Oryzias latipes: one gene and its partner. The protein of the gene in region 2 interacts with the protein of the main gene of each other region in a pairwise test. Links are inferred from orthologs where the notes say so. Each region holds a gene or a part of one and is shown on either strand. Other genes may lie near its edges.

What was found.
Region 1: the proteins of nup54 (region 2) and ift20 interact in binary tests that used the Homo sapiens proteins (3 or more experiments, as listed by UniProt). The two-hybrid records come from large-scale screens. The link is inferred for Oryzias latipes from reciprocal best matches to the Homo sapiens genes NUP54 and IFT20.

Annotation. Positions count from the first base shown.
Region 1 is NC_019871.2:17,865,029-17,874,545, reverse strand, and holds ift20 (intraflagellar transport protein 20 homolog), read right to left. Parts: upstream 6,019-9,517; 5' UTR 5,886-6,018; intron 4,949-5,885; exon of another isoform or gene 4,835-4,948; intron 3,922-4,834; 5' UTR 3,914-3,921; coding exon 3,787-3,913; intron 3,719-3,786; coding exon 3,633-3,718; intron 3,199-3,632; coding exon 3,095-3,198; intron 3,015-3,094; coding exon 2,933-3,014; 3' UTR 2,607-2,932; downstream 1-2,606. Other genes in the region: lyrm9 (LYR motif-containing protein 9), read left to right, coding at 1,890-2,015, 2,173-2,265, 2,336-2,353. UniProt on the Homo sapiens protein: Part of intraflagellar transport (IFT) particles involved in ciliary process assembly. May play a role in the trafficking of ciliary membrane proteins from the Golgi complex to the cilium.
Region 2 is NC_019870.2:10,473,730-10,482,731, forward strand, and holds the end of nup54 (nucleoporin p54), read right to left. Parts: intron 8,723-9,002; coding exon 8,668-8,722; intron 7,192-8,667; coding exon 7,098-7,191; intron 6,118-7,097; coding exon 6,010-6,117; intron 4,889-6,009; coding exon 4,769-4,888; intron 4,025-4,768; coding exon 3,914-4,024; intron 3,835-3,913; coding exon 3,706-3,834; 3' UTR 3,362-3,705; downstream 1-3,361. Other genes in the region: serine/threonine-protein phosphatase with EF-hands 2, read left to right, coding at 849-1,034, 1,121-1,263, 1,398-1,504, 1,609-1,772, 2,004-2,091, 2,190-2,374. UniProt on the Homo sapiens protein: Component of the nuclear pore complex, a complex required for the trafficking across the nuclear membrane.

The DNA of each region.
Region 1 (9,517 bases), on a different chromosome or scaffold from region 2:
GGATGGATGGTGTTAACGGCACAGGAGAAATCAAAGAAAAGCATTCTCACAGCGCCGCCTCCTTCATCCAGGTGAGAATAGGTGCGGTGTAGCAAGTAGAGGATTGCGTCCTCCACCCCTACTCTCTCCCTGTATGCAAACTGCAGTGGATCCTGGACGTGCTGCACCTGTGGCTTCAGCTGCTGAAGCACTAACCTCTCAAAGGTCTTCATCACATGTGAGGTCAGTGCTACAGGCCGATAGTCCTTCTTTTCCCTCGGGTGCTTGACCTTGGGGAGAGGAACAATGCACGAGGTCTTCCAGAGGGATGGAACATGTCCTACATTTAGGCTAAGGTTGAAAAGGTGCTGAAGAGGAGACCCAAGCTCATTTGCACACGTTTTCAACAGCCTGGGACACACTCTGTCTGGACCTGCTGCTTTCCTGGTGTTCAGTCTCTGCAGTTCCCTCCTCACCTGATGCTCTGTGATGCGGTGGGGGTACATCCTGCAGGTGGAGGGTGCGGATCACATGTAGAGGACATGGGAAGAGAGAGATCATGGCTGATTAATGATGAAGCAGCAGCCTGAGCAGCTGGGCCCTCCTCTGGCTGAGGGGTAAGGACATGCAGTGGGAAGGGCACTGTGATGGGTGTAGCGTGGACCGGGCTGGTATTGGAAGTGGGGGGAGTGGGGGTGAAATGTCAAACCTATTAAAAAAGGTATTCAGCTCATTGGCTTTTTCTACACTTTCCCCCACTACTTTGGGTGACCCCCCCCTTCCCCGCTGCCTTGAGATACTGCCTTAAGTGCACTTGCACTTTAATAGCTAATGTTGTAAATTGTCTTTCTTTTCTTTCCTTTTATTTATTTTCTTTTTTCTCTTGAACAGACATGAGAGAGTAAGAAACGGAATTTCGATTCATTGTATGTGATGCACATGTGAAAAATCGACAATAAAGTTGACTTTGTCAGGATATAGAAACTGTGGAAGATTCATATTTATTCATCTTGTAAACCCGTTTTGTCCCTTTCGGGGTCACAGGGCTGCTGGAGCCTATCCTGGCCACTCATGGGCGAAGGCAGGGTACACCCTGGACAGGTCGCCAGTCTGTCACAGGGCCACTATGGAGGATGTAATATTGAAATGTAAATATTATGCAAAGCATAAAGACACACTAAAAACAGATTCAATAAATGAAAATTCCATTGAATATGAAATTTAAAAAAACTAGTAATATATATTTGATCAAATTTTTAAGCAGTACACGCCTGATGGGACAAACATAAAATGCCCTGAGTAGGACATGTCAAATCTATTGACATGATAAAGCCCTCGACCCACCTTCCAGACCAGGTGGTGGCGGTAATGTGCTATTCTTTTGTTTGCCAAGCGACGTAAAACAAAGAAATAGTATTAAGTGTACTATTTGCGCATGCGCATTGTGCTCCCAGCGTAAACAACCGACAGATGTTTTTTTTCCCGTCAGATTAAGTAGCATCGGCTACGTCTTTTTTTTTTTGCATCGGCTACGTCTTCTTCAGGTCTGTGCGGATGCGTGACGTTGTCCACGTTGCGTGATCGGTCGCTGTGGTGAGTGATAGAGTGATACCGTTTTCGCTGGCGACCTACGTACGTCCTAACCCCAAACCAACCTTTTTTTCAAAACCTTTATTTAAAACACCAGAAGACAAACGTTGGGAGAGAATTTCCTTGAGAAAAAACCCGTAATTATCAGGAATTAAAAGAGTCAGGAGATTCACGGGTCTTCGGCCTCCATCAAGCCCTCTCCTCATCACACCAACTAGCTCCATCAACATCCTTTGGGTTTTCTTAATCTTAGCTCCAACCTCTATTACGTTTTTTGGCTCCTACCACTCAGCCTCAAAACCAGGAAGCTCAGAGGTAAGATGCCCCCCTTACCTGGAGCAGAGCTCATCCAGACATCTGTGCAGCTGTACAGGTACCTGCTGAGGTGCTGCAGGCAGCTGCCATCCGCCGCCATGCAACAGCACTACAGGCACGCCATCAGACAGGTGAGCGCTCATCTTTACTCAGGTTAAATGTAAACAATTGTACTTTGGATTTGAACCCTCTGTTGGGGAAATGGGTACACTACCATCTTTCAGTCTCAGGGCAGACACTACCTCTCCACCAATGAGTTAGTGATAGTTTGCTCTTTGTCCTCTGCAGAGCTACAACAGCCATTCTGATGAAAAAGACCCAGAAAGGATCCTCCTCATGATAAACCGGGCTGTGGCAGATGCAGACTGGATCCTGGAGAAGGTAAGGATCATGGGAGCTGTAGTTTAATGCAGTATGTAGTGCAGTCAAATGAACCTGCTTTCCTTTACAGTACTGCCAGGGGAAGTGACCGTGCTACCCTCACCCTCTGTTTCCAAATGTGACAAAGCTTGGGAAGTCCTCAATGTTGCAGCGGCTCAAAAGATCAGCAGGTTTCAGGATGACTCCATGATTTTTTACTAAAAAATAAAGGTCCAGCTTAGTGCCAAAAAGGTTTTTGATGTTTTCCTTTTTTTTTTTCTTTCAGGGGAGGAATGTTGTTTTTGCTACTTATAGTGTTTGAATTGTTTATATATTCATCGTGTCTCTGAAGGAAACAGATCTCATTTGAACATGAAAACTTTATTGTACATCTCAGTTACTCAGCGCCCGCTCCACCCTCCCATGCACAGATGTAAACAGCACCTGCTGAGTCCGACCCAGGTTTGAGTTTCAGTTCATGTCCATGTCAGGATCTTGTGTAGCGGGAAACAAACCAGCCGCCTTGATGAGTGTGTGCTCTCTGAGCAAGGGGGTGGAGGGGTCACAGTGTGACAACACATGTGGGACAAACAGGAAGGTGTCCTGGAGCCTCCCACCACCACCACCCCGACCCCACAGCAGGGTGGCTTAAGCTGTAGGCAGCAGCCTCAGACAGGTGAGTCCCGCCTCACTTTTGCAGGATGAATTGGTTGATGAACTCGCTCTGCTCCGCCTCTACCCGGGAAAGGGCTTCGTACTCCACCCGGTACCTTAAAGAAAGTAGCAGCTGTTAGCAGGGAGCATGGACGCCACTCCTGCAGGATTTAGAGGGGTGGGGGGGGTGGGGTACCTCTCCAGCTGCATCTTCTTCTCAGCAATAAGACCCTTTAGCAGCTGCTGATGCTCCTCCCTCTGCTTCGCCACAGATGTCAGAAGGTTCCTGGCTCCAATGGCCTGCAGGAAGTGATATCAGCCAATGAGGAGCAGTTTTTGTTTGATCGGGTTACTGAATGTTTGACATAAACTAAAAACAGTAAATCAAACGCAGCTCCAGCAGCTTTTCCACCACAACATGTCTGTCAGGAGGAAACTGGGCAGCTTACCAGAAGGTGTTGGAGTTCCTCCAATGTAAATAATGTTAAATAAAAGTTTGGGTCTATTTTACTCATTCCAATTGAATTGTTAAAACTGGTCCAAAAAATCTACAAAAAACAGTTTTTCTTTAATGTGAAGTAAATAGTTTTTTCCTGCTAAAATTGGTTACTTTTATTATAGAATAATTCAACTGGTTAAATCTATTACTTATAGGATTAAGTACTGGGTAACTATAACTGCCAACACTGATGAACTGTAGGTTTTGACCTAACCTGAGAAGAGGGGAGCCTCACCTTCATCTTTTCAGTCTCCGCCTCCTTGGCCAACCCGTCCACTGTGCTGATGAGACCGCCCACAATCTTCTGGAATTGTCCGATCTCTGCAGAGACACAGACCTATAGGAGCTTTGGGTGGGACGGGGTGGACAACAGATCCGTGGATTCTTACTGTCCACAAACTCTCTGCACTCCTCCTTCAGCTCCGCCGTGCTCTGGCTCACATCTGGCTCTAGAACCCGCAGCTTGTTTACCTCGTCAAAGTGGAAGCCAGCTTCAGCCAACGGATCTTTAGCCATGGAGTCTCCTGTGGGTCAAATATTGTGTTATTTCCAAAACTCCTCAAACACTCAGCACCAGTTTAACCACCTGACAGACGCAGGAGTTTGATCCACAATGATAAACACTCTTTATAAAGTCTAAAAAGAAAAAAAACATCTTTTAAAATGAAAAAATTATTATAAAGAGTTGTTTCACATATGGATGAATGTATGTAGGCTAGATTTGACTTTATCCTTTTGGATGTAACGGACACTGAAGGACTTGGGACTGATGCTTACCGTTTCTTCCATTCACCATAATACTTTACTGACCGTACCAGAGTTACCAAACATGCTGATACAGTCCAGTGATGTCTAGCGTCAGCCACAAGTCCAGTTATGGACTGTTAACAACCAGCAGGAGTTTAGAAAGATACAATTACTGCCTTACAGGACAAAGATTGAGAAGTAATTTGAAAGCTTTGCATTTTGGCTTGTCTATTTCTTTAACACAACAGATAAATTCCGCAACTGCATTACTTTAGTCCAGTCCAGTAGGACAAAATAATATAATTTACCATAGTATTATGTACTTGGAAGCTTATGAACAGACCTTCAGTCAGTGTTAAAAGTTTTCAGAAACAAATGGAGGAATGAAGATGTCTGTCCAACATTCCGAAACCGCATAAACAGATGTTTATTTAAATTCAAAACTCTAAAATTGCGCTTAAAAGCTTTTACAAAAATAACGTTTTAGCAAATAAAAATAACACACAAATTACACCCATTCCAATTTGCTTCCACACGCCTCTTCACCTCTGAGCTATGTATTTAAAGTCCTCCACCTTCTTCTCCTCTGCTCCCTGTAACCTCACCGTTCCTCTTTAGTTCCTCTCATTTACACATTCAGTCTTTCTGGAGCTAACCTTCATTCCTCTCCTTTCCTGAACAAACCTTTACCTCTCTAAAGTGTTCCTCCTTCTGCTCCCTGCGCTCACTACAGATCCACAGGTCATCTGCAGACATCACGCTCCACAGAGATTCCTGTCAGTCCTTCTGTCAGTCTGTCTAGCACTACAGCAAACAAAAAGGATTAAAGCTGATCCTTGGTGCAGTCCAACCTCCATCCCCCCTGAACAGATGAGTTCAGGATGGATTAATCTGATTAATAATAATAATAACAATAATAATGAAGTGTTTGTGGCAGTTTGCGTAATTGTGTGGCTCTGTTATACCCTCTCTACATCCAAAAAGCGTCAGAAACAAAATATACATTGTTTAGTTTTTGAGCTGGGCTAGACTTTTAAACATTAAAATTAGTGAAATGCTGCCTCCAGCGGTCTTTCATAGCACTGCAGTGTTGGGTACTTCCTGGTTTCGGGGGGGGGGGGGGGGGGTAGTGTTACTGTACAAATTGTTTTCATCTTTATTGTGAATCTTAGTCCATTTAGCACCAATTCAATGAATGAAGATTATTTATTTTAATTTCTACATTTACACCTAAACAACCCCCCTTCATGTTTTTAACCACGTTAAATGATTATCGCGCCGTTCAAAGCTGTAATCCATGCCACAAGAATTGTTTTGGTGACTAATCTGCACACATTGTTTGTGTATTTTAGATAATAAAGTTTTCTTTAAAAAAAAATCTATGGGTGACGTCACAAGCATCGATTTTCTACACTACAGTAAGAAAATACGTCAAAAATAAATGAATAAATAAGCAACAAACTCAGACTAGATCTGAGTAAACAAGAACGTTGAGTTTTTCTGTCCCGGCGACCTCAAAAAATGCCTCTAAACTTGGAGCTCCACAGTCTCAGACTTTGGCAGAAGTGTTTGTACACGTTGTATGAACCTCTCAACCATCTTTTTTTCCCCTCTTCGATTTTTTGCGGCTAACAGCTAACGAGCTAATACGTAGGAGATGACAAATTAACAGCTGTTAGCCTCCGTTAACCATTCGTAAAGAATAGTAAACTAAACTTTGGTTGTGGAAACGGACACTCACCTTAATAAACCCCTGACGTTACTCTGCACGGCTCCGGTCCTCCTCATAAGGGGTCCTACTAAGACGTTCCGCCTCTTCCTCCTCCTGCTACCAAGGCAACCGCACAAAGCGCCACTACGCGTGCGCACTAGCTTACCGCCGACCTCTGGTGGTACACATTCTCGAGAAGTCTTTTTCACGTGTTTCTGATATTATCGTTCATTTAAAAACAAGAATCAATTTACAGTCAGTTTTAAAGCCACCATGTGCGCGTGCAATCATCAGGTTCATCCTCATAGTTAAACCAGGTTAGGCTAAACACCCCAGTAGGTAGACCCACCCAGCGGTAGAAGTTTAGACAAGTCTGGTTCCTTTCGCAAGTTCAAACGTCATGACTGGATGAAGAGATAAGCTCAAAGAACCAACTAGTTCTTTATGAATTGAGATGATAAGACATTTTTTAAAAGACATTTTCGTTCACTCATAAGAACACTTTAAAATGTACAGACATGGATGATGTGGCTTCACTGAAACTTCAAGTGGAAATGAGCAGCAGCTATCTAGACCAGCTGGAGGCGCCAGAGGGGAGCCCATCTGCCTGAGATACATTGTTACAGTGATCCAACGGGGATGTAATGAAAGCATGGAATACTGTTTTATGTTTTTTTTTGGAAAAAATGCACAACTGACATCTCTCTTTTCCCCTTCTTGACCAATTGCAAATTTGTCACATGCAAGATATGACACAAAATCAATACAAGTGTAACATACAAAGAGGATGCACACATGCTTTCATCAGTAGTACATACCTTAAAATCGTAGATTTTTATCAAGGTGTTTATGGGCTGTGTTAAATTTAAAACTAATACAAACACTAAAGAAAAAATATATCCCATTCAGAGTATGTTTTCCTGCATAAAAAACTTTCTTAAGCAGGAAAAAACTAGAAAATCAGATCAACAACTATCAGTATCATTTAAACGCTTTATTAAAGAACACTGTCCCAAAAGTCCCCTTTTTGCAGCATTACTCAGATATTACACCTTTCCGTCAAAACCTTTCATCCTGTATCTGTTCATCCCCTAGTTCTTCTCTGAGACTTCCACTGCAGGAGATAGAAAAAAAAATTATGCATTTGTTAATTAGGCCTTTCATGGAAAACATGGAGGAGTTTTATGGCTGGGGGGGGGGGGGGGGAATCGGAGAACTACTGAGTGCTGCTGGAGTTGTTAATAGCTACAAACATGCTCAGCTGAGGCGGATTGTGAAGCTGGCTCAGGTTCATGTCAATGTAGTTGGAGGCTTCTCAGATAGATCAGGAAGCTTTCATCCTGATATGTCTTGTAGCTGCTGCTCACTGTTAGATTTTTTGTTTTTATTGTTATTACTGCTCTGCACTGGATTATCTCATGGTGTGGATTGGTGGACGATTTACCTGGTTTGTTCTTACCTGGACTTTATTGGCACTGTTGCCTAAAAGCTGAAGTACCCAGCCTCTAAACTCCTCCAGGTACATAATCACCCACATGGACTTCCACTACCTTCACTAAACCTCCACCCAGATATAGCTCTCCGTCTCTGTATAGGAGGGATGGCTCAGTTGCCTGCATGCAGCACTGGCACCTGGGAAACCAGGGGGGGGGGGGGGGGGGGGGGGGGGGGGGGGGGGCGAAGAGCTTCATCCAGTCCTTGGATCCTTGGGAAAAACTCTTGGATGAGTGCTAGACCCTCTTTGCTACTTCCTATCTATGTATAGGCTTGTATCAATAAGGGCATCCGGTGTAAAAATCTCTGCCTAACCGCTTCCTTTGGAGATGCATTACTATGAGAAGTACAAAGGCCTGCTGGTCCCGGTACCTCTGTTTTCCACATTTGAACTATGAATGTATAAATATACCTTCACACCACCCTCAGCAACGTACCTTCAAGCACTTTCAATGAAAAGTCCAGACGCGTCTGTAGACTTGTTTACATATATGTACTGCATATGGAATGTGCATTTCAGGCTTCCTTGGTCAAAACTCTCGCGTTCACACGTAGCTACGCACATTTTAAGACCATTTTTGGGCTCTACGTACAAAACATGTGGCCATTGGACTTGCGTTGAAAGTTAAACCAGTTGAACTTTGACCACTCAGGGATCTACTTTTGGTAGTGATGTATAGATGGCATCCTTTCCAATTTACAGAAGTTCCTACAGTTTAAAAATTGATCACGGAAGAGAGATTAATAATTGTGCTGGAATTATGTGACAGCAAGTCTTTCATATATCATTCAGTTTTTGTGTCTTATTTACTTAAAGAATAAAGGTTTAAGTGTCTCTGTCCAACCAATATTTGGACGCCACCTGAGGTCAGATCTGCACCTCACAAGCCTGACTATAGCACCCCACCGTGTCAACAAGACATCAGTCACACCACTTAAAATGAGTAACAGGAGTTATCACATCACACCACTTATTTCAATTCCAAAAGATAGATGACAAAAGGAAAATGTAGTTGGTTGCTGTGATTGTTTTGTTGCTGTTCCCATGCAGTTCTCATTGCGGCACCATTTCCTGGACCCAAGAACAACATGGTTGTGATGTTTGCAAAAAAGACAAGTTGGATGTCAAACTTCCAAACATGACAACAAAAAGGTCAGTCTTGTTGGCAGGTAAATTCAAGTATCTCCTTGAAATTTGGTTTGACAAGACAAAATTTAATATCAGATCTTTAATATAATGACCCAAGAATGTCACAATAAAATGAATACAAACTGCATGTTAGAGACCCAGAGACACAGTGTCTATATGGCACCAGAACTGACAATAACATGAGTTTTACGCAGAACTGGGGTAGGAGAGCAATCAATCCCCAGACACGTTATTGGCATAAAACAACAGAATAACATAATTTGTCTGCAATTTAATATATTATCTACTTGGAAGTTTATGAACAGAACTTCTGTGTTAAAGTCCTCGCGAACAACTGAAGGGATATAGATATCTGTCCAACATTATGAAACCGCTTAAACAGATGTTTATTTCAATTTAAAACTCTAATATTGTGAAACTCTAAAAATGGTTCTCCATCTGCTTCCTGCTCTCACTACAGATCCACAGGTCACCTGCAAACACCATGGCCCACAGAGATACCCGTTTAACATCCTCTGTCAGTCTGTCCATCACCACAGCAAACAAGAAGAATCAAAGCTGATCCTTAGGTCAACTTGTCTGTTAGACCCAATTCCCACTAGACTTTTTAAATAAACTTTTCCCCTAATTAAAGATTCCATATTAACAATGATAAATACCTCTCTGGAAACGGGTTACGTGCCACAGTCTTTTAAATATGCAGTTGTTAAACCTCTTCTGAAAAAGCCCAGTTTAGATCCTAACAACTTGGCCAACTATAGACCAATATCAAACCTCCCCTTTATTTCTAAAATCCTAGAAAGAGTTGTAGTTAACCAGCTTTACTGCCACCTACAGGACAACAGCCACTTTTAAGACTTTCAGTCGGGGTTTAGACCCCACCACAGCACGCAAACTGCACTAGTTAGAGTCTCTAATGACTTGTTATTGGCCTCAGAAAAGGGACTACTTTCTATTTTGGTCCTGTTAGACCTCAGTGCAGCCTTTGACACTATCGTCCACGGTATTTTACTCCATA
Region 2 (9,002 bases):
TGAAAAAAACAGAGTAAAGCTGTTGCAAAACTGAGGACAGACTAGATTTTTAACAAGTTCCTAGTGGTCATTAGGAAAATTGCACCTTGTTTCATTCATATTTATTTTTTAACGTACTTCATTCTTAAAGTCCATTTTAGGTAGCAACAATTATCAAGCTTTTTCTTATCTTTCAAAATGATATGATGACACTAAAGTTATTGTTGAAGAAGGCTATTTATTGGGCAAAAGGTAGCCACATCAACAAGCTATCTCCTGTGAAGAAGTTGTTGGTTCTCCTTGCGTGCAAACCCTGCTGAGGCTGTTAGATATTCATATGATTGTTTTGTTCTCTGTCTGTGATATTGGTTGTGATGTGTTATAATTACGGTAATTACGGTTCCATGACCTCACAAATTCATCAAGTTTGAAAATGTTCTTTGAATGGGCAAAAAAAAAATGTTCCAGTGGGGTAAAAAATTTTTACTTTAAGAACAACACCTCTAGTCTCTAAGACGTGTTTTCTTAAACTAAGACTATTTTGCAATGGAAATACTTTCTTGATAAGGTTATCTTCTTGCAAAAATAAGACATTTCTTTTAAACAAAGGTCTTTTTACCTTATAGTCTTTTTAGTGTATTGTCTTTTTATGAGTCTAATTTGTGCAGGTGTTGTAGCACAACAGATGACAAACCAGGATCTAATGGAAAATGTTCCTAGAAGTTTCTTTTTGCAGTATTGTCGTAAAAAAATGAGATTTTCTTGATAAGCAGACTTTAACTAACTTTTTCTACGTATTCAGTTTTTCTAATAAAGAAATGTCAACCTGCATACCATCACTCGATTCAAGGTCTAAAACTTTCACTCAGATAGTGAACCTGTTGTGGAGTGATCCCATGCCCCAAAACGGATGCATTTCCAATGAGGTGCGAGGTGGGGGCTGCTACTGGGGCCCTGATGTTACAGAGGAGGTGCTGGGAAGACACAACCTGCAGCTTCTCATCCGTTCCCACGAGTGCAAACAGGATGGCTACGAGTTCTGCCACAACCGCAGGGTGAGCACAAAGAGGACACTTATGGGAGGAAAGTATGGAGGTCAGAGTTAGCAGTCATGATACTCTGTTTCTTCTTTCTCATGCAGGTGCTCACAATATTTTCAGCCTCCAACTATTATGAAGTGGGCAGTAACAGAGGGGCTTACATCAGAATGGGAGCTGATCTGGTTCCGCACCTCATTCAGTACCAGGCCAGCAGGACGTGCAGAGAACTCACCCTGAGACAGAGGTACACACACGAGTTGCTGTTCGACAAATAAAGCCACATGTTAAACATTTTTGCACAATAAATCAATAAAATCAATGTGACATTTAAAAACATTTCAGATTGAGGCTAAATTACAATATCTTTTTTTTTGCCAGTGTGGGTTGGACGGAGAGATCAGCCCTGAGAGCTTTGAGAGAGCAGCTGTTTGTGCACAAATCAGATCTCATCAGGGCTTACCAGGAGTTCGATCCTCATCAAACAGGTACAGCCACAAATGGCCCCTTTGGGCCTCCTTAGTCCCTTTGACTCAAACCGACCACTCACCAGGTTTTACTTGCTCTCCTGTGTCTTCACGTTTGACCTTAGGGAAGATCTCGATGAGACACTGGGCGAGTGCTACAGAGAGCGTGCTGAAGCTGGGTTTGCCCTGGAGGGTGCTGCGCTCTCAGCTTGTCAGCAGAACCCACTATGGCATGGTGGATTACCAGCAGTGGATAAAGGAGTTGTCCATCACTGAGCCCAAACTAGAGGTGTTTTATTATTATATTTATTTTTTAATTTAATTCAGTTTAGGTGTTTTTAAGGTTCACCACTGATATTGCTTAAAGGAGCTACACAAAAGAGAAAAAACGTTCAAGTGAAAACAACAATTGTGATAGAGGAATTTCAAATATACTTCCGTTTTATTCAAATTCAGTGTGCCGGTAGATCATTCTTCTTATAGTGTTGCAGAAAAACCATACATTTGATCCCGTTTGCAGGTTTCAGACACCAGTATCCTGGAAACCATGTACAAAAACCACTCCAATTTGGAAACCATCTTCCGCATCATCGACACGGATCACTCAGGTGAGGGACAGCGACACGACACTTATTTTCAAGGCTGATCTGCCCACACTTCAGGCTGTGACAAGCCAAACGGCACTCGGTGTACCACTCTCCTCCAGGTTTGATCTCTTTGGAGGAGTTTCGTCAGACTTGGAAGCTCCTGAGTTCTCATCTCAAGATGGAGATCAGCGACAAAGCAATCGCCGACCTGGCTCACAGCATCGACTTCAACAAGGACGGCAGCATTGACATCAACGAGTTCATGGAGGCCTTCCGGTTGGTGGACCTGTCTGCACACAGCTGAACGCCTGAAACGGGAGCAGCACTGAACTGCAGACTGGATTATAAGGATCCATCTATAGAACATTAGTAGATTAAGTAAGTGGATCTGGTGTTATCTAGATGTTTTCTACCTCAAAGTTGTTATTTTTTACCATCTTTATTTTTTTAAAATCTCATCTGAGTGAACATTTGTTTTCTTAATAAACAAGAAATAAACCTTTTGTGTTCAAGCAATTAATTGTGTCATTCGTTTTAATCGGGTAATTCAACACACTCAAGCTTCTTTGGTGGCCTTGAAAAAAAAAAGTCATGTTGCATAAGAACCTTTGTTGTTCTAGAATAAGAAAAACTGAATTAATCAGTTAAATGGAGCTTTAAAAACTGTTCTAGTAAGTGAACCTTTTTGCAGTGGCTAAACTCTGTCTTTCAGATTTGCTTTTTATTAATACATTTGATTGAAAATTAAGTGCCTGATAGTTTTAAGTCAACAGGATGAAAAGGGAAAATCGCTTTACATAAAAAAAAGATTTATTAGAAAAAACTAAAAACAAAAATCACTGTATATGTTTTGACAAAAACCAATAAAAATCTCCATTTTTAAAAATTTCTCAATATTGTGCAGACTAACTGAATAAATTGGGTTTCGTTATTGTATTAAATTCTGCATTTCCTCCCACGTCTCTGGTTGGTAAAACCTGCAAACCGACTGTGGTGCAAACCCTTAAGATGCATGGGTGACCCGACTACATGTGGGGGTTCTAATCTGCTTGAAAGCTGCCTAACCAGTCCAGCTGCCAATCAGTCTTTTCATCCCTGCAGGGATGCAAAGCCTAAATGTAAATCCTATCAACTCAAGCCCTGCTTTGATGAGATATAGAAAAGTGGAAGTCTGCAGGTAAACAATGGTGTCAGGTGTACCATAGTTTAAATATAAGGTAAGCAGAAATGCAAGGAAGTAGATAAACATTTAGTTCATATTACAGCATCTAGTTACTACAAAAACAGACCATTAAAGGTTTAGAATTTAAATTTATTAGTATTCTAATAGTTAAAAAAAATACAAAGATGTATTTACATCTTGACACACTTAACACCTCTTTGTTTACAAAGCACTGGCAGTCACATGTGCATAATCTGATTGACGTGGCTATTATTAGACACTGATCATTCCATTGAGCTGTCTGTATCAATCCAGATTACGCAGTCGTTTTGCTGTACTGATTGGAAAGCCCGGGATTTTTTTTCTGCAACGAGCAAATCTGAAGATCGCAAAATAGAATGGTCTGGAAGAAAGATGTTCTGCTTTTCAAAATAAAGGGTCAGAGTGTGTGAAGAGGCTTTGAGAGGTTGGAATCAGCTCAGGATGCCCCCTCTCATGTGTCCACTGTCGCTCAGCCCATGCTCTATTAATTTGATGTCTTCCAGGTCATCTTTAATGACGCTGATCAGATGACTCAGACCTTCCTGCTGCTGCTTCAAGTGCTGCATGACGGAAAGAAGAAGACGCTTAGCGACAAATTATAGACAGTCGTACAAGCAAATGAGTGACAGGATCCCTCACTTGTTTGATTTCTCGGAGCAGGTCTGCATCCACACTGTAGCGCTCTTCTGACCTCACAGCTCCAAAGTGGTTCTGCATTCGGATTTGGGACATTAATTCATTCAGCCGACCCTTAATGAGAGGAGGGAAACAGTTATTGGTGGGTTTTCACAAAGGCAGTTTGATCTCCAACAGTACTTTAGATTTACAAACATGACAGACTTTACAAAAACGAAAAAGATTGGCAAAGACTTATTTCTTAAGAAATGAAATAATTGCTGTTTTTTAAGCTATTTAGACTCATCTACGTCCACGAAACCACCAAACAGCAGCAGATACGCAAAGATGGACTAAAATTATTCAAAGATTAATAACACGGGTTGTGTCCAAATTCCCTCACTACTCACCACTTGGTGCAATTTTTTGGGATTTTTGAATCTACAATTCCAAAATCAAGTGCCCTGGAAATTTCCAAGAAGTCTCTCCGAGAAACTAGTGTGCATCGCTGCTCACTAGATTGGCGAATATCGACCACAATGAACTGCATTTGAACAATTTTTCATTTAAAAAAAAAAAGTGTTTTACATTCATTTTGTATAAACCCTCAAAGTTTTTCTCATCAGAACACAGTGGATTCATAAAAAGTCTTTGTAAAATATCAATAGTTATTAAGTTTGCTGTTCAAAAAAATGCAGTAAGCATGTTAACTCCAGAACCATAGATAGCCCTTTAGTAGTTAGGGAGTAGTGAGGCAACATAGCTATTTCTATTGTCAAATGCAGCTTTATAAAGTTACAAATTTAGACCCATTTTGTCTACTTCCAGACCAAAGCCTTCAGTGAGAGTAGCTTCCTGCTCCAGTTTGCAGAGACTTGCCTTGAACTGTGTGGGGGCATTGAGTTCGGACTGAATGGTGTCCAGCTGCACTCGGAGATGCTCCTCGTCCACTTGGATTGCGTAGCCACTTTTCCTTTGAATCTCCTGTTTGATCAAAACCTTCCAGGAAAACATGGCAATGATACACAGGACAGTGTTGCCGAGCGGAGATAAATGCAAGCAGTGCCAAAACATTCAAATGTGATAGAATATACAGATGGGATTCATCAGTTTACTTGGAAGAATAGTACCGGACAACATTAAAACCTTCAGAGAGAAAGAATGTAGGACAGAGGGCCTCTGAGCCTCCACACAAACACTTCTCTCAGCTTTATGGAGATTTTGCCAGGAACGCCAGTTCAGTGGGATTTCACCTGATCATCAACAACAGCTGCAAGATTACAGACTTGAAGAAAGATTCATTATTCAGTCTCTGCAGCAGGTGAACAAAAAGTCCAAACAGCGGCTCTCATTTAAAAATCCATTTTCAACCCCTTCCACGCACTTTTTTATAGCTACGGTTTCTTATCAGAAAACATCACCTTTCTTAAGTCAAATTATAGGACTGCCCAAACAAACAAAAGTGTGATTTCCAGTATTAATAGAAAAAAAATCAGGAAAATGATTGGAAATTGGGCCTGATCATTTACAATCGCCACTCGCATTCCAAACAGGGATTGGATATTTATTTGAATCTTTTTATGATCAGTGGTATATGCTGCAGGCTCATTATTACAACGTAATACTCCATTAGAAGTCTTTATATCATGAAAGGATCCTGACATTGCCAGAAAGTGTATAGAATACGGCATTAGCTTGGGCAGGAGGTGCACAAAAACAGTTTGGTCAAGGTGGCGAGATAACCCCAGATTTGGACTTGCGAGATAAATACCTCGTATGAAAATCTTTTAAACTGACAGCAAGTGTCTTTACTAGCTTGTCTCAACTCTTCTTTGTCCATCTCAAGTTTTTATGTTTTGAATATATTCTCAAAAATCTTTGTTTTTTTCCTCGCAGGATAATGTCTGGACTTTCTGGCGATTCTTGCAAAAATGCAGCTCAGAGCAGATCAGCTGTTGAAAAGAACCAGCTCTGAGGTTTTTGATCTAAAGAACTTTTAAGGCACTTAAAAAAACAAAAACTCTAACAAGCTCTAAATAAAAGAATTACTGATACCGACAGTCTGATACAGACATCTCTGTAATTACAATTTAGTCTAATCTGATAAATGTGGACGCTACCTGCAGCACCCTGTGAGACAGATCCATCAGTTTCCTCTTGTATTGAGCGATTTTGGCCACGGTTGTAGCCTGGTTCTTCTGCAGTTCACTGATGTCATTCGATATAATCTGCAATTTCAAACAACAATGCACTGGATTTTTTGCGTTTTAATAGTTCTTAATGCTAAAAACTACCAGCATCACACCTGGAGTTCCTCTCAAAGTTTCTTCAAGCATAATAATAATTTGTTTTGTTTAGACCTGCACAATAAATAGCAAATTTGTCATTATAGTGATGTCAAGCTATGCAATATTCGTATAAAAAAAGATGGCAAAAATTCCAATAAATATTTACCTTAAATGTGCTACAACAATCTCATGCCAGCTTGAAGAATTTAATGGATCATAAAATGCCTTTTTGCATTTGACCAATCAGAAGTACTCCTTTACATAATTAACCAATCGCATGGAGCCCTTTTAAGTTAGATGTTTGCCTCCCATGTAGACGAGGGTCATTGGAAGAATAATTTAAGTTATGTTGACTCTTATTTAAATTAAACTGTAGCAGTGAAATGGAAATTCTGTACTTAGTTGTTTCGCAATTTCTTCATGCATCGCAAATTATATCGTCATCGCAATGTTGATCAATAATATCACAAATCATGAGTTTTCCTCATATTGTGCAGTCCTAGTTTTGTTCCACCAAGTTGTATCAGTTTTTAAATGATTCGAATTACATTATTAAACTTCTTTTTATAATAATATTGGATTATCTTCCAATCCAAAACTAATCTGTAAATAATGACTCCATTTAAAATCACCATATTTAGGGTGGTTAACTGAATAGTTAAAAGCATTATTCTAAAGCTAGTGTGTACACGTTTTATGAAATACATTGTCAATTTTGAACCCCCCGGTGAAAACACCTGCAGCTGTATTTGTAAAAATAACTTCAAAATAAAAAACAAACAGTTGGCAGCGAGCGCGAACATCTGCGCTCGGGCCTTGACCACAGTTTCAGAATTCCTGCGTTGATATCAGATGGTTTTGTGCACCGGTACTTCTAAAACGGCAACCAAGAGCCACAAACTATTTTTCATCTCACTCACATCCACTCTGGTCTGGTGCTGTTTGGTCATCTGTTCCTGGATCTGCAACCTGCGCAGCAGCTCTTTAAATCCAACCATGGGCACTGGGAATAACCTGAAAGAAGAGACGAACGTCTGGAAATTACTTCTTAACTGACCAAAAAGTAGAAAATGAACCTGTTAGAATTACGTTTATGTAATGTCTGTGCAGCTGTCTTCCATTGGCCCGGCTCTGCCTCTGGATTATGGCACGCTCTCATCATTTTATTAACTTTATGAAGCACTTTTCATGTCAAAATTTCTAAAAGTACTTTACTTTCTCCAAATGCAATAAAATACACACACAAAAAAGTAAAAAATTAAAAATAGGTGGGTGGACTTTAAACACTGTCATCTATATTTCATAAAGTAAAACTAATTTAGATGAAAAATGTAGCAAAAAGATGCAAAACTGTAATTATGATTAAAACTGGAATATTACAAACTCTAAAAAGGAGTAGCTTCATTTAACTTTATAAACTCATGGAATAGTACTTGAATTAAAAAATGAAAGAAAGATTTAAAGGCGTGAAAGTAACCCAATGTTTAAATCAAAGTCCATTAGCTGTTACGCAGTGAGGTGTAGACATTTTATGTCTGCATTTGACCCATGCTTTGGCGGAGCGCTGAGCTGAAAACAGCGTAGTTTCTTACGGAGTCACAAAATGTTATTGTTAGATGCTTAAGATCGTTTTTGACACTCTCAGCCTCAGGACCAAAGATTAAATTCTGCATTTTGCCCGGGTTTAGCTGCATCCATACTTTAATTTCAAAGTGAAAAAATGAAATGAAAAAATTGGGACCTTAAAAAGAACCTTGTGGTGCACCACATGGCTTATAGAGGACTCAAATATAAATAAGTCTATCAGTGAGATAAAATTCAAACCAATCAAACTCCATCCAAGTCATGTGATCAACTGTGCTGAGGTCAACCCCTTGACTGATGCCATCTTTGACCCATCATGACTTCAAACCTGGCTGGAACATCTCAACTGCATACAGCTAATTAAAAAAATGTTTTTAACAAACTCCATGATCTAACTTTAACATTAATCCATATCCTAAGCATTTTAACGTTGGGAGTGCTCTGAACCTTTTTTCTTCAATGATTTATGATCTTCACTGGTGTCCATGGATTACATGAAATCTTTCCACCATCTCAACTGCTCTTCAGAGTGGGTCTCACTACGGCTGTCAGTAACCCTTGTGCTATCCTAGGCACTTTAACATTGGCAGTTGGGTCATCTAGACCCCACAAGAGAGTGCACTGAACCTTTTTTCTTCAATGATTTGTGATCTTCACTGGTGTCCATGGATTACATGAAATCTTTCCACCTTTATCCACCTTTGTCATGGTAGGGAGAACACGTCAATGCAACGGTTGGGGTCATCTAAGATAGCACGAGGGTTAAGAGGACTGAGAAGAGTCCAACCTGAAGAGTAATTTAGAATGTTCAACAGCAAAGAAGCTGTTTAGGAAATGAGAACCTGAACAGTCTGCCTTTAGAACTACCTTTATCAAGTCAAACAGACATTTTAAATAGCAACGCACTTCTCTGGGTCAGGATTGTCCACCTTCGCCTGTTCCCAAATGATGGGATCCACACCTGAGCAAAAGGACAACATGGTTAGTTATTACTCAGAAGACTGCTTTGAAAAAATAGTCTTTTCTCAGGAGGAAATTGAACAGATTATTAAGAAGTGATTTCAGTAAAACAAGAACTATTAAACTAAAATGACATGGAATTTATAGTTAAAAATCTTTTTCATAAAAAAATGTTTACTTATTTCATGCATTTACGTTTTTTGGTGGTAAAAAACAAATTATTGCTGGAAATTAATCTTAAAATTAAATGTTATAATTTGCAAATTATATTACGTGACGAC